2 linked regions of the Oreochromis niloticus genome follow. The protein of the gene in region 1 purifies or fractionates together with the protein of each later gene. This does not show direct contact. Links are inferred from orthologs where the notes say so. Each region holds a gene or a part of one and is shown in the gene's direction. Other genes may lie near its edges.

The links. The genes of interacting proteins can lie anywhere in the genome.
Region 2: the proteins of tnip2 (region 1) and tnfaip3 purify together in Homo sapiens (affinity purification with western blotting; 5 studies listed by BioGRID and IntAct, with this or other methods). This does not show direct contact. The link is inferred for Oreochromis niloticus from reciprocal best matches to the Homo sapiens genes TNIP2 and TNFAIP3.

Annotation. Positions count from the first base shown.
Region 1 is NC_031971.2:13,974,881-13,982,107, reverse strand, and holds tnip2 (TNFAIP3-interacting protein 2), read left to right. Parts: upstream 1-4,210; 5' UTR 4,211-4,570; coding exon 4,571-4,891; intron 4,892-5,147; coding exon 5,148-5,450; intron 5,451-5,581; coding exon 5,582-5,671; intron 5,672-5,853; coding exon 5,854-6,117; intron 6,118-6,232; coding exon 6,233-6,349; intron 6,350-6,475; coding exon 6,476-6,775; 3' UTR 6,776-6,933; downstream 6,934-7,227. UniProt on the Homo sapiens protein: Inhibits NF-kappa-B activation by blocking the interaction of RIPK1 with its downstream effector NEMO/IKBKG.
Region 2 is NC_031978.2:11,429,146-11,436,619, forward strand, and holds the start of tnfaip3 (tumor necrosis factor alpha-induced protein 3), read left to right. Parts: upstream 1-4,454; 5' UTR 4,455-4,714; intron 4,715-4,807; exon of another isoform or gene 4,808-5,014; intron 5,015-6,277; 5' UTR 6,278-6,376; coding exon 6,377-6,683; intron 6,684-7,474. UniProt on the Homo sapiens protein: Ubiquitin-editing enzyme that contains both ubiquitin ligase and deubiquitinase activities.

The DNA of each region.
Region 1 (7,227 bases):
CTTGGGAAACCTAATTCCCCACTCCTGACCAACAGTGTGGTCTAGCCCTTGATCTCAGAGATCTAAAAGAGAAAAAGGGAAGGGGAAACTGGAAAATAAGTGTTCTTTCCAAATTTTTCCAATCACCAAATGAAGCAACAGGTGACCTAACAAATTCCTGAGCCGACACAGGAAAAGCCCCAGCACATGATACTTCACCAAAGGTCTATACTGAACACAGAAAATAATAACCCAAGACCCATGAAAAGGTCAACATAAAAGCCACAAACCAAGTTACTATCACACATCAAACAAACATAGCAGTAGGCAATAGGAATCTGTTGCCACCACAGCGCAAACTGTCACATAAAGCGTGGTCCTAAACCGCAAAAGGGTTCACAAAGCAAAGTAAACACACAAATGTCCAAGTACAAATGGAGACCCACACCCACACACGATCACAAATAGCGTGGTCGATACCACAGAAAGTTATTTCATTCGCCTAGTGAGCAGCAGCCACAAGTGACCTACCAAAAGTGGGCCAATGCTAAAGGTCACAACAGAAAAAGACTCACTTCATCTTTAAATAGCAACTGATAAATGTTGAAGCACACTCTTGGAAGTTCATCGGATGCTGTAACAAAAATAAAATATACTATATATTTTTATTATGATCGTGGATTATGGTAATCCACTGCAAATACACAGCTTTCCTGCACTGAGCAGAAGACCATCAGTGGTCATATAAGACCAACAAAACCTGAACACCTCTGTTTTAGGTTATCAGGCAACAGCCAACCATCCTATCCAATGACGAAAACCTACTTTTTAATGATTTGGTTGAACTTTTCTTTTTTCAAGGTGGAAGGATTGTACAGCATGCATCTTTAATGGTTTTTTAAAAAACAAGAACTGGGTGCACAAGTTTGAATTGATTTTGATTTTCTTTAATCTACAGGCAAAAAATTATACATGGACTCACTTAAATCTTTTAATAACTGGTGCTGAAGGTTCTACAGTGATTTTAACTTGACTAGGCCAAGACCTCATTAGTGATCATACATGATTAATAACCGCTGACAGTTTCTCTTTACCAGCATAGATCATAGAAAGGATTTGTTTGTTGGCACTAATTGGATTGATCAATACTCAGAACAATGGGAAAGTCCAAGAAACTCAATGAAGATCTAAGAAGTAACAATGCAAGTTTTGAAGGTCTCTTGGAGCCATTTCTACCCAACTGCAAATTACTATCACTCTTAGATGAAAGGAAATTGGTTGAGATATTCAAGAACAACCCAGGAACCACCAAGCCTCAAGCCTGCCATGAACTGGAAACACCAGTTGGAACACCAGCATTTATGGAGTTTTACATCACCGTGGACTGAGAGGGTGCCAACCAAGAAAGAAGCCCCTGCTCCAAAATCAGAACCTTCAAGTCCGAGTGCAATTTGCAGCTGCCCACTTGGACGAGCCAAATACTTTGTGGAGAAAGGTTTAATGGCCAGATGAGACAAAGATTGAGCTATTTGGGCACACTGATAAGAGGAGGTTTGGAGAAGTAAAGGTGAGGCTTTCAAATCTAAGAATACTGTACCAACTGTCAAGTATGGTGGGGTAGCATCGTGCTCTGTGGCTGTTTTGCTGCCAGTGGTACTGGTACATTGCACAAAGTGGATGGAATAAAGAAAGAGGAGGACTATCTCCAAATCTACATCTTTCCCTCAAATCAAAAGCTAGATGGTTGAAACTTGGGTCTAAGTTTGGGACTACAGTCCCAAACACACATCAAAAATGGATTTTGAATGGATAAAGCAGGATAACATTAAGCTTCTGGAATGGTCTTGACAAAGCCCTGACTTCAACTCTATTGAAAATTTGTGGACTTTACTTAAAAGCCAGGTTTGTGCCGGGAAACCTGCCAATTTAGATAAACTCTGGCAATTCTGCTAAGAAGGGCAGTCGAATATCCAGCCAGAATTATGCCAGAAAGTTGTTGATGGCTGCTCAAAGCACCGAGGTGTAACTTACTAAGGGACATTTAAGTTGGCGTATATGTATGTATTTGAGCCTATATGTCTAATTGTTAACCTGTGTGGATTACAGAAAATCCAAAATAAATTCAAACTTATACTTTCAATTTGTGTTTTTTGAGTCATTGAAATGTATGCTGTACAATCATTCCACCCTGGAAAAGAACAGTTTAGAGAAAGTCCAAAATTGCCACAATATTCATGACGACAATGAATCTTTGTCAGTGCTGCACCCGGCTTGAGGAAGCTTTAAGCACTAACCTTGGAAAGAGGCACCAGACCACAGATATATTTAACTACTGACCTCTGAAGTGTTATCATGTAAGTGTTATGGGGGCATAACACTTACATGATTATTATAACTGTTGGTGCTTCATTTTCCATGGACTTACTGTTTCAGCATTGCAACAAGTACTTAACAAGGCCTCTTTTCATAGCGGAAACTCTGAAGTTTATATATTTCCATTTTACTGTACTACTTAACATGAATAGTGTTTAAGGTGTTTTGCCACCTGTTCACAAGGTGTCAACCGATGACTCTTTCAGGAAGTCCCAGACATTTTACTGTCACATGAGTTCTGAGACTTGCCAATCACATGAATGAAGGTGTGAATCATCAATAAGAAGGGGTGGTGTTGCTAGGATAAGACTGTAAAAGGACTTTAGAAGGCCATAGAGAACTGAAATGATTCAGGTCAGCATTCGTTTTTTTTATAGACAGAATCTTTTGTGGAATCAGTTAGTTTCCACCCTGACACTTCTTCCCACCTTCCTACAATTTTTACACACTTTACACCTCAATTCTTGCTATTGTAACAAGTGTCACATGACTGCCATGTGACATCAAACGACATCACGGCTTCACACCGCTCATGTCTCTTGGTGTGATTGACCCAGAAATACCTGGGACTCCCCACCGGCCAGTACAACTGATGAACACTCTTGGTCTTTAACTCGGTACTCCTACTGTCTAGACAGTAGTTTCATTTTGACCTGATAATGCTTAGTACACTCTTCTTGTAGTCCAACGATGAACCTAAATGGAGCACGGTTTTGATAATGTAGTAAGTGTGACCTATATATGCTAGTTACTGTGCATTTTGTTCAAAGTGTCTGAGAAAAAGGTTACACACGTAAACTTGGAACAGTTTCAGCTAAACGATTACACACACTGTAATCTATTGGTTGTATTTATTTATTTATTACCTCCACATAAATATCTAGGTTCTTGGGACCCGTATTAAGACTATACATCCAAAGCACACATTCATTGCTAAAAGCACATCAGTCCATCATTCTACAGTATGTATTACATCTGTATTTTATACAAAATTGCATAAATATAAAGCCAGCTACAAACTGCAACAACAAGTATAATGAATTAAATTGGAATCAGTGGTGTTCTTTGTCATCCAACTGTAATTACGTTTTTGTAGTGAACACTTTTTTTATGTAGCACTTAAAAAAGAGAAATACATAAGAAAAGTAAAGATCCGTTTATTCATGAGTATTCCCATTTTGCAGTACCAAGAGGTCACCATGAACTGGAGCTGCTTCCAGTACAGCTTGGGTAAATTCTTGATTTGCTACCGTAAGAGACATTGTGTCACTTCCCAAAATATCAGAACAAAAACCAAACAAACACACACAAAAAACGGGATGACAATGTTCAGTCATAGACCGCTGCATCCTAAAATCAACCATTAATACGGCACCGGTGTGGTCCTTACTGCGTAATTCTTTGAATGACAATGCATTGCGGTGCATTTAAAGCTGTGGGAAAAAATTAAAGCCTGACAAAAATGAGTGGCGCGCATGGGGAATTTGTTATGACACTCTACGAGTAAATGCCCTAATGTGACTTTTAGGGGACTGAATGTGTAAAAACCCGGTAAACTACCGCTGGGAAATTAGCGTTTTTCATTTAGTATAATCTGATATTCCTTTCAATATTATAGTTTATACTTTCTGTAGAAAAACCTACAGCAAGCAGCATTTGGTTTGTAGAAAATAAAGTTGACTAAAGCGTAAGCCATTCCATTTTTTTCCCTTCTAAACCAAAGCTATGCATCCTTATAATAATAGTGGCACTAATAACACCGGTAAACATTTTTTTTTTTTTTACATAACTTAATTTTTGTTCGCTCTAACTAGGAGTAGTAGATTTTCCGACGTAATTGAATGCAGCAATCGTCTCTCTTTTTTCAGCCTTTAAGAGACGTAGCTTAAACTTTTAGCTACATTTAAAATATGTGTTTCTTTGTTTACCAAGTTGTGCCAAGACGCTATAAAATGTTTTTTTTTCTACCTGTGGATATCTACAGTGAACCTTTTTGAACACAAGCATGGCTCCTTTTTGACGAAGCTCAAAAAACTCCGCGGGGAAGTTCCCTAGGAAATCCCCGAAGACGGTTCGGGGGATATTATTCTCTGATGAGCCCAATTTCAGACAGTTGACGACGTTGGTCTTTTTCTGAAGACACGGGGCTCGAGGCAGAGGCGTCAAATGCTGGATTTTTAAGAGACTGGTGCGTCTGTCAAAGTCTACAAAACCCGCAATGGATAACGTCAGTATAAACAACACGGATAACGACGTGCTCAGAGACAAAATGCGGAGTTACAGCGTGCTTAATACTCTGTATCATGAGACGCGGCAGGAAATAGACCTTCTGAACAGACAGATCAGTGTAAAGGACGGTGTTATTGCAGATTTAAAAGCCAGGCTGGGGAGACACGAGAGGCTCTACATGACGGTGGGAGATAAGGAGTCTGTGCTCATTAGTCCGTCCAACTCTTTGGTGGAGAGTTTACTCAATGAAATATGCAAACTAAAACAGAAGAAGAACGAAGGGGACTTGAAGGCAGCCCGACAAGCTGAGGTAAAAACATGCTGAAGATTGTACACAGTCGATGTTTCTCCCTACAGCTCTAATCAGTGATTTATAACCATATATAGATTTTTTTTTATATCAGTTTGTTACTCTGAACTGTAAGCTGCTGTCTACTGTGACGCGTTCATTTTACAGTCTCTACTGGAGAAGTGTTCAGGGAACAAAACATGGACCATATCTGACATATCAGTTGCAAGCTGTTGTTGCCATGCCATGCCATTAATCTGTCATCATTGTTCCTCAGGAGATTCAGAGGCTGAACACTCAGCTCAGGGAGAAAGAGCTGGAGCTGGAGACCATCAGATGTCAGCCGGACCACGAGAAGGACCAGGAGATCCAAAGGCTACGGGTAGCCTTGCAGGAGAGGGAGCGGGCCGAGGCCACCAGAAGTGTCCTCTGTACCTCCCTGGCCGAGGAGGCCGACCAGCTGCGCGGGCAGCTCGGTGCAACTGTTAAGGTGTGCCAGGAGCTGATGGCGAGACTGGAGAAAGACAAAAGGGGAGGAGGAGAAGTGGAAGATGTGGCCCTTACGCAAAAGAATACAGAGGTGTGTAAATGCTTTTAGAAGTCACCAGTTGCTTTTGTAATTTCTTTTTAAATAGCTTTATAATACAGCTATTATTTTTTCAACACTTCAGGAGGGTCCTGTTGTAACCTCTGTTTTCTAATCTTTTACAGATGCCAGAGTCCTCTGAGATGGGTAGTCTTAATGCCCAAATCCGTCAGCTTCAGGAGGAGAATCAACAGCTAAAGCAGCGTGTGGCATACGTGAGTCTCATTAGTGTTATCTGAAATCAGTCAGGAAAAAAAATAGACATGTGATCTAATTATGTCCTTAAGGAAACAGATTTCAATTACTTTTGCACACAATATTAACACTCCAGTGGTGGAATATAAAACATGGTGCATGATCAAAGGTGTGACGTTTTGTTTTTTTAATTTCCTTTTAGGTACAAAGCCTGAATACTCAGTGGCAGAAGTATGACTCCAGCAGGGAGGACTATATAAGAGGTTTATGTCAGAGGCTGAAGGACAGCACCGGGCAGGGCTTGATGCCTGCGATGGGCTCCACCAACACTGGATTGCTTCATCAGGAGATTTCCAGGCTCAATGGCTTACTGGAGGAGAAAATGAGGGAGTGTGCAAGGCTTGCTAGAGAAATAGATGACATCAGAAGACAAGACAAGGAGCAAATTCAGACACTTGAGCAACAGGTTGGTGCGATTTCATGCCTGGTGATTGGCTGAGTTCTGTTAAGCACGGTTATAGTGTCAAATAACTAAATGTGAAAGATAAATTTTTAAAAAAAAATCTTTTTTGCTTCCTAAGGTTCTTATCTACACCGATGACTTTAAGTCAGAGCGTGCAGACAGGGAGCGAGCGCAGGGCCAGATTGATGCCCTGAAGGAGCAGGTTTCTCAGCTAAAACAGCAGCTGCACAAACAGGTGAGACAACAGCCCTGCACTTAGGTGCACGAGTGCCTCGACAGAAGCACGGACTTCCTTTTACTTGTTACCACCGTCCAGTACGTGTAGCTTGTGCTGACAGTGTACGTGCCTCCCTGTCTTCAGCAGGGAGCTAGCAGAGAGAGCAGAGACGTGGTTCCCTTGTGTCACGTGCACATAGGACACAGGATCTCCTCAAAGCGAAGTAAGGACACGTCAGAGCCTCTGTTGAGGACCACTGCTGAGAGGCGGCAGCAGCAGCAGCAGCAGCACCAACAGCCTGCAGCTGCAGCAGCAACCCCAAACTCTGCCTGGAACGAACACCCAGGCATGTCAGAGTTGCAGTGCCCCCAATGCCTCGCCACGTTCAGCGACACAAAAGCTGCAGAGTACCTGAACCACTGCTTAGAGTGTGCCCGAGTGTAAATGGAAGAACACTGATTTGGAAATAACAGTCATTTCTTACTGACAGTAACTGAACACTGAAGACCAGCACTACACTGCAGAAAATACCCCGAGTGGAGATTCCAATTCTGAGAAGCTTGACTACAAATCAAACAACTGACTTACCTTTTTTTCTTTTTTTTTGTACATAGAGAAACAAATCTGTACAATTGGCGCATATATATATATATATATATATATATATATATATATATATATATATATATATATATATATATATATATATATATATATATATATATATATATATATATGCCAAAAGTTTTTATTTTTTTAGTTTTTTTTTTAGTTTTTATCCAATGTCAGGTTCTAAGAGTACTCCTGTGGCATTGCGGGAGATTATTGTGGTGGGGAAGAGGATTACTGATGCAATATATATGGAATATAATATACCTCAGTGTCAAATTACAAAC
Region 2 (7,474 bases), on another chromosome or scaffold:
TTGTTGTTTTGGCAAATGTCTCAAGCTTTAAAATAAAGCACATACAGCATGCAGCATATGCAGTGCAAGTAAGTGCAGCAGCAGCACGGACTTGCTGCCAGCTAAGATCAAAAAGTGGATGCTACATTTTAAAGTAAAGGTTACTATCAAAGTCTCAGTGAGTCAGATTTCTACTTCATGTTAGCAACTGTTGCTTCCTTTAGAGCATCAACAAAATCCCCTAATATGCAAGGTTTCATTAGACTGCCAAGGAATATAATGCACACTAGCAATATTTATTTGAATTGGATCATTTTTATGTTTTTTTAATTTGAAGAAAGGATGAAATCTTTGCAGACCCCTCTGTCTGCATGTTCATGGGTTTCAAAAAGCTGTTCAACTTTTGTGTTTCAAGATGGCAACATTGTAGGATGTATTCAAGACCTTTACCTCTGCAAAAAAAACAAAAAAAGTCCTGCATTGAAGAAGTTGCTCAATTAAAAGTAAGTAACCATCATGTTTGTAGAGGCTAAAAGTGTCAATCTGACATCTACTTTTTTAGTAAGTTATTGTTGCAGATGCATTTATTTGTCAGCAATATTTTACTGCTGTAGCCAATCAGGTTAGAGCTTACTGCACTGCATACTGCAAGTACTTTCATATCATTTTATTTTATCAATGCAAAATATTTGTGTCCTTAGATTTTTTGAAAAGCATTGTACATATCTAAATTATTATTATATTTATTGCTTTAATTGTTTTTAAAAGACCCCTCGTATGTTAATTATTTAAAGAAAATATTAACAATAAATGTAGCGAAGAAAAGTGTCAAAATAAATGAAAATATGGTACTGTGCAATAATCTTGAGTCCCCCTGAATTTTTATATTTTGCTTCCAAGGAAAGGCTAAACTTGTGTGTAATATTTTAAAAGCAGTCTTAAGCAATAGCTCTCCAGACTTTCTGCAGATCTTTCAAAGGTTTTTTGATTTGTTGTTGTTTTGTTTTTTTACTTTTTTCACTCATTTTCAGTCCAGTCCTTGTACCTGTCTATTTTAAGAAAAGAATATTTGGGGGGGTTGTTGTTTTTTTAAGCACTGACCTATGAATTATTCAACTATAGAGGGATGAAGCAGTGTTCTGTCTACACATAACAGACAACTTAACAAAGACCCCATTATAAAATGCATCTCCTGGAACTTTGCTACTAGCAGCCTGTCACAAAAACACATTTGTTCCTATTCTATATATTTAAAAAAAATGCTAACAATAACAAAGCTTGACAGACATAAAATTGTATTTTTGCACCAACAATGGGATTCCCAAAGAACTATTAGCCAAAAACTTGCCCCATCTCTGCATGGTGTGCAGCATGTCCTCAAAAAATGTAACTAAACTGAAAAACTATTCAGTTTTGAGAAGAATGTTATAAAAGTATGCACTACTGTGGAATCCTTTGACCTTTTCTTGACAGACATAAATCCTTCCAGACGTTATGAGGAAATGCGGACTGCATAAATAGCAGTACAGCGGTCAGGTGGTTTTATTAAAGTATCATCTGCTGGTCTAATATAGGTCATTTAATGAGGGAAAAGTTCAGCATTGATATGAGACAATAGTGGTGGCGGTGGTGACTAAAAGAGGATTGCTCATACTGGTGATTTGAAACAGCGGAGTGGGCCAGTTGTCCCTTCTGGGGTTTTCCATGTGCTGATGACTATGCTGCTTAGCTTTCACCACTTCCACAGCCGGCTAGTATTGATTATTGACTTCCAGCCAATGACTCAGCCAGCATGTGACTCAGTAAGGAACTTTTAAAAAGTTTGGAAACTGAAATCTTTAGCTTTATCTACAATAGCCCCCTCAGCAGCATTCAGTCAAAACAGACCAGAGTTAGATGGGTTTTTCTTAAGTGCCCACTTACTCAATCAAAGGCATTTTTGAGGTCAGTCAAAGTGACTTTATAGATGTTCATTTTGACAGCCGGTGCGTGCAAAGCATTACCTCAGGGGCAACGGCTTGAAACTTCGAAAGGTAAGACTGATTCACAGAGCTCATTCCTCGTGAATGCTGTCAGGTGTTTGTTTTTTTTAACAGTTTCTTTCCCCGAGTAGGTAGAAAACTGAAATGTAGTTTCTACTGTTGGGGCAGCTCAACACAGCAGTAGGAGTCTTTCCACAGGTAGGAGAAAGGAAATAGAAAGTGAGGACCAGCACAGGATAACAACAGCAAGATTAAGACGAACTATCTTCTTTCACAGCGGTAAAGTGGATATTTGTCCACAGTGGAAAAATATAGAATAAAGTTTTACCTCAGCTTCAGGGCTACTCTACATTTACGGGAATCCTGCCCTTATACCCTTATATAATAAACAATAAACATGTTTGTCAGGATGTCAAATTCTTGTTAACGCTACTTTCACTTACTGTGACTCTGGCTGGATTAATCCTCTTTTGAAATCTTTCTGGTCTTTCTAATGGTTGATTCAGCACTGAAAAGATGAGATTATAAATTATCTATCACTTAACTGAGAACAAATTTACAGACTGACATTAATTTGCGACAGTTCTGTCGTAACTGTGCTCTGCTTCTCGGCCCGTGACAGCTGGGATTTGGACCGAATACTCGTATTTGCACGTCGTGCAAAAAATACTATTTGTACTTGGTTATTTTTTCTGATTTATCTATTTTATGACACTGAAAATTAGGGGTGGGAATCACAGATTGGGTCATGGCACATTACTCTAATCTTAAGTGGCCCAGGACAGCGCCATACGCGACACAGTTTAAATGTGCATGTGAAAAAAAGTATATTTTATATTTGTGTCTCTGTGTGTGTGATCCATATTTTTAAACACAACAAAACAAAATCCCAAATATATTAATTGAATATAAGCAATTCTGATTTTATGCTTCAAAAGGAGTAGAGAGAAGTATAAACGTATACAATCCTACCGCTCCTTCCTGTCTAATGACTTAGTCAACTTCAGTTTTCCTTTAATTTATAAATGCAAGAAGTCAAGAAGACTTTAACTTAAACTGACAAGTTAATCAAAAATGAAATCAGGGGGTGTATGCATGTTTTAATAAAAAAAAAAAAAAAAAAAATTGGCCCCGGTGTGTTTTATAGTAAGTCGATGCAAAGCAATATGTCGCTCTTTAACTATTTGGTCCCAGTAGTACTGCAACTTGAATTTATGTTTTGTTTTTGATTGACTTAAGGAAATCAAACTATCTAAAAACTTTGCTTTTGTAACCTGAAGCATGCGGGCTTTTCCAACCTTTGTATTTCACCTCCTCCTGCTAAATGCTAAACTGAAACTTTATTTGTGTTGGAACACACCCATCACACAAAGGCTAAAAATATTTGTCTCTTTATGTCATCTAAATGTGTCACACCTCTTTTTCGCGTGCATTATGCTATCACATGCAACTCCAGCAAGTTGCATGTGTTAGCATAATGCATAATTTAAGCAAACGCTACACTTGGAAATAAAACATAAAGCTCTGACTACTTTTCCGTTGCAGCTTCTGAATGGTAGACCGCAGTAAAACAGTTAAGCATGCTCTGCCACATACTAGAAGCTCAGACAAGATAATAAAACTTGTCAACCACAACAAACCACAGGTGCACAAAAGACTTGTGACTTGACTGTTGTAATGATTTAGCCGCCTTGACAGCCACAGTCAGGTGGGTTGCTGGATGATGGAAGATGCACACTTTTCTTGGTACACTCGAGCAAAGATCATCTGTTGATGTTTAGTATTGAACTCACATGAAAATGAGAGGCACAATTTCACCAAGTGTCAGTTTACGTTTCCATTAGGTGGAGACATATGGAGGGAGGTTAAGAGGCTTCCTTTAAAAGGAAACCTATTTTTGTTTTGTGATTTCGGTGGGAAGAGCTAGAAACTTTTGCCAAAATAAAAGAAAACTTCACTTTACATAAACATTGAGCCAACTTACTAATGTAGTGAATGAACCAGCGGGTTAGCAAAGAGCTCACATCTGCTTCTTAAATATCTTTGAGCAAGACAGGAATCCGAAGGAACCTGAAAGTCTTTAATTATATTTAGATGATTTGCTAACAATTAAAGCACCATCGCATCATTGCTGCAATAGCTAGTCATCAGACCATGAATACACATACGTATCAGTGCATGCAGTCAGCAACTCAAATCCATTTTACAACCAGGTAATGAGATTCGTTTTCCTTACTCATTTGCTGATACTGAAGGTTAATGATTTATTTTTTTAAGGCTGTCTCATGAAATAGAGTATGACGCGAACTGCCTCCCTCCCTCAGTGACGCTCCTTTGTGCTCAGTAGGTGGGATATGCTTTTCAGTATCGAGTCAGACAGATAGTAAAGACTCCCCTGGTGGCAGTGAGCTGCAACTACAGCGGTTGTGTGTGTGAGTGTGTGTGTGAGTGAGTGAGTGAGTGAGTGAGAGAGAGAGAGAGAGAGAGGAAAATGGGTGGACGGAAAGTCCCCGTGTGGAAATCCCCTTTGACTTGGACTTTTTCCTTGTTTTAAAAAAACTATCATTATCGTACGTGTGTATTCTTTTGAAAGGCTTCGCAGGCTGCGAGGGCTCCAAAATAGATCTGATACTGAAAGAAAGAGAAGGTTGAATGGCGCCGAGGACCGCTGCGGTGAGGCTGAGTGAAGTGGCTGAGAGAGGACTAGCCTGAGCATCCGGGAGGCTTTGTTATTACCCCGACATATTACACAGGTAAGACGCCAGCCTTCCCTCCTTGTGCCTCCCCATGTGGACACACATTTCTTAGCAATTGGGTGAGACTTGGTGGGTAAGACCACGTTTGGGCCTTGAGTAATGTATGGTCGTGTTTCTGGGGACACGGAGGAAGCTTGAAGCCTGCTCACGACAGTGGCTTTGACAGCCATTGTTTACAAAGACGTCACCCTCGAGCGGATAGCAGGACATTTAAACAGCCAAATGTGGCATCGGCGAGGCTACACTGTATCGATACCCGCGCTGTTAGACGCGATTGAACGCTACATTGTTCCAAAGGTAGTTGTCATTGGAATTACGTAAGCCTTTAACGTCAGCAAAGTCTCCTGTTATTGTGTTTTTGTGTAGCCAGCCATCCTAAACCGCAGCGTCCACCCGGGTGCTGCTGTCTGTCTGCCTTAAAGTGTGCCCCGCTGTGACAGCACGCCACGCTAATGATTCGTGTCAACATGCTCCCTGACATCCAGGTGTCTGTTGTCTGGTCCCTCATGTGACTGACTAGCCCTTTAGCACGGCCTAGTCTGTTGTTGCACCTGCTGCTGTTTGGGTAGTAAAGGCACAGAGGCCACTAGAAGCTCGCTGTTCAGGTGTTTGTGGACTCGAACAGCATCTTCCGACCTGACTGGCAGCTTGCGAGAGGTTGATAGAAGGATGTTGTGGGAAGTTTAAAAGTCAGCAAAACTCCAGGCCCACTTGCTGACCATTACTTTCTACTTCCTCTAAACTGCTAATGCGTCTTCACTGTGTTGAAATGTGAGGGGAAGTAGTCCTTTAAAACCTTCCCTTTAGCAAACTTGACTCAAATAGAGTATTGGGTATAGAGGTTGTGCATTGAACCTCAGTACCTTTATACTTAAAGTATAAAAACTGCCAAAAGTTTCCCTAATTTTCCTAGCTTTCAAATTACTATAACAATTTGGGGAACGTAGCTGAATTAAAGTTGTATTTTATTTAGGGGAAATAATTCTGCAGCTGCTTTTGTTTTAAATGACTTCAGGGAGTGACGTAAACCCACGTTAGATTATCTTCCTCCTGTACTGAGAACAGTGTTTGTGTCTGTACTGAAAGCCTATAATTTTTCTAATGATTCCCAGCCTTTTAAACGGAGACTTTAAGCAGGCTGTTGAGGGAGGAGGCCTTGTGACCTTCCCATCAGCCTGGGAAGCCCTGGGTGGCCTTCAGTTAAGGTCTGGAAAGCACCCATTTATTGTTGGAAGTCTTTGAGCTCAGTGGGACACTAGGAAGCCCTGTTGAGGGAAACTCTCAAAAACCATCAAGACAAAAAGGAGAATTAAAAGAACAAACAAGAATACAAAGGGGTCTTTGTGTACTTTATTCAGTTGGGCCCAGCAGAATCTCCAGGAAAAAGCACCATACAGCCTCCACACTGGAATCATCCTTTGTGATGGGTAGTTTCCCAAACAAACTGTAAATTAAGTTGTGCCTTAAGTCTTAATTTGTAAGGAAGGGGACTCTCCACTGAAAATTTCCCACAAATCCCTGCTGTGAAATAACATGTCCTCTCCGCTTCTCTCCATCCAGTTTCCACGTTGATCCGGCATCGGTGGTTGGTGCCTCCTCCTCCTCTCCTCCTTGCTCCTCTTCCTCCCTTCCTTCCATTCACCTGGCCAGCCATCCGCCATGTCGCAGGGTCAGAACTTCCTCCCCAAATTCCTGTTTGTCTCCAACCTGCTCAAGGCAGTGAAGATCCGACAGCGAGTGCCTAACGATGTGGTGAAGCCTGCTGCCAGCGGTGGCCTCATGCACCACCTGCGGGGTATGCACCGGTACACGCTGGAGATGATCGCCATGAACCACTTCCCCCAGGCCTTCAGGGAGGTGGTTCAGGCCGCCATCCTGGACCGAGCCATGCAGGCCTCATTAGAGAAGGAGAAGAAGCTCAACTGGTGTGGGGAGCTGAAGAAGATGGTGCCCTTACGCACCAATGGTAAGAACGATTATGCTGATGTTGAGGAGCTGTACTGGAATATGGAGGCTACAGTAAACCAGATTTCTGTGGTGGTCTTATAAGTGGATGAAGCTCCACGAAGCTTTGTTGACGTTCAAGGATGTTTTATATTATTGGTTGTGTAGCAGAGGGCACCGTAAATAACTGCTGTTGGAGCAGTAGGTGACATTCAACACAAATAGAACAATTCAGCAGATTGGCCACAGAGCTAATGCTGAACCATTTCTCCTTGATTTTAGAAGCAAAACTTATTGCGCTCAACACAGGATGTGTTTTGCTTTTGTTTCATTTTCTATGAGAGAGATGGTGAGCTCTTATGAGTCAGGGCTATTTGATATGCAAATTCTGAGATGTCATTACTCACAGGCAGGGTTACTGTAAATGACAACAATCGAGGGACGCGAGTTCCGCTTTCACATAGACTCATTTAGCAGCCCCCTTGGTTTTACTGTGTCGACCTTAGTGTTTGACTTTAGGCACCCCAGTGCTAAGTCATGTTTTCTGTTACGTGAATGTTGTAAGACGGGAACATCCCAGGGCAGGCAAACATGTAAACTCGGGCCTGATTACTTCTGATCATAGTTGTGTACTGGGAAATTCTCTGGCGTCACATGCAGGACTGTTATTTACTGTCTGTGATGTTTCAGACCCAACTATTTCCACAGTTTTTCATTTACTGCATTTGGGGTATGCCCCCTCTTTTTCTGTGTAGGTGTGTGTTAGTGAATGTCAGTGGATGTTAAAAAAAACACACCGTTTTACCTTAAATT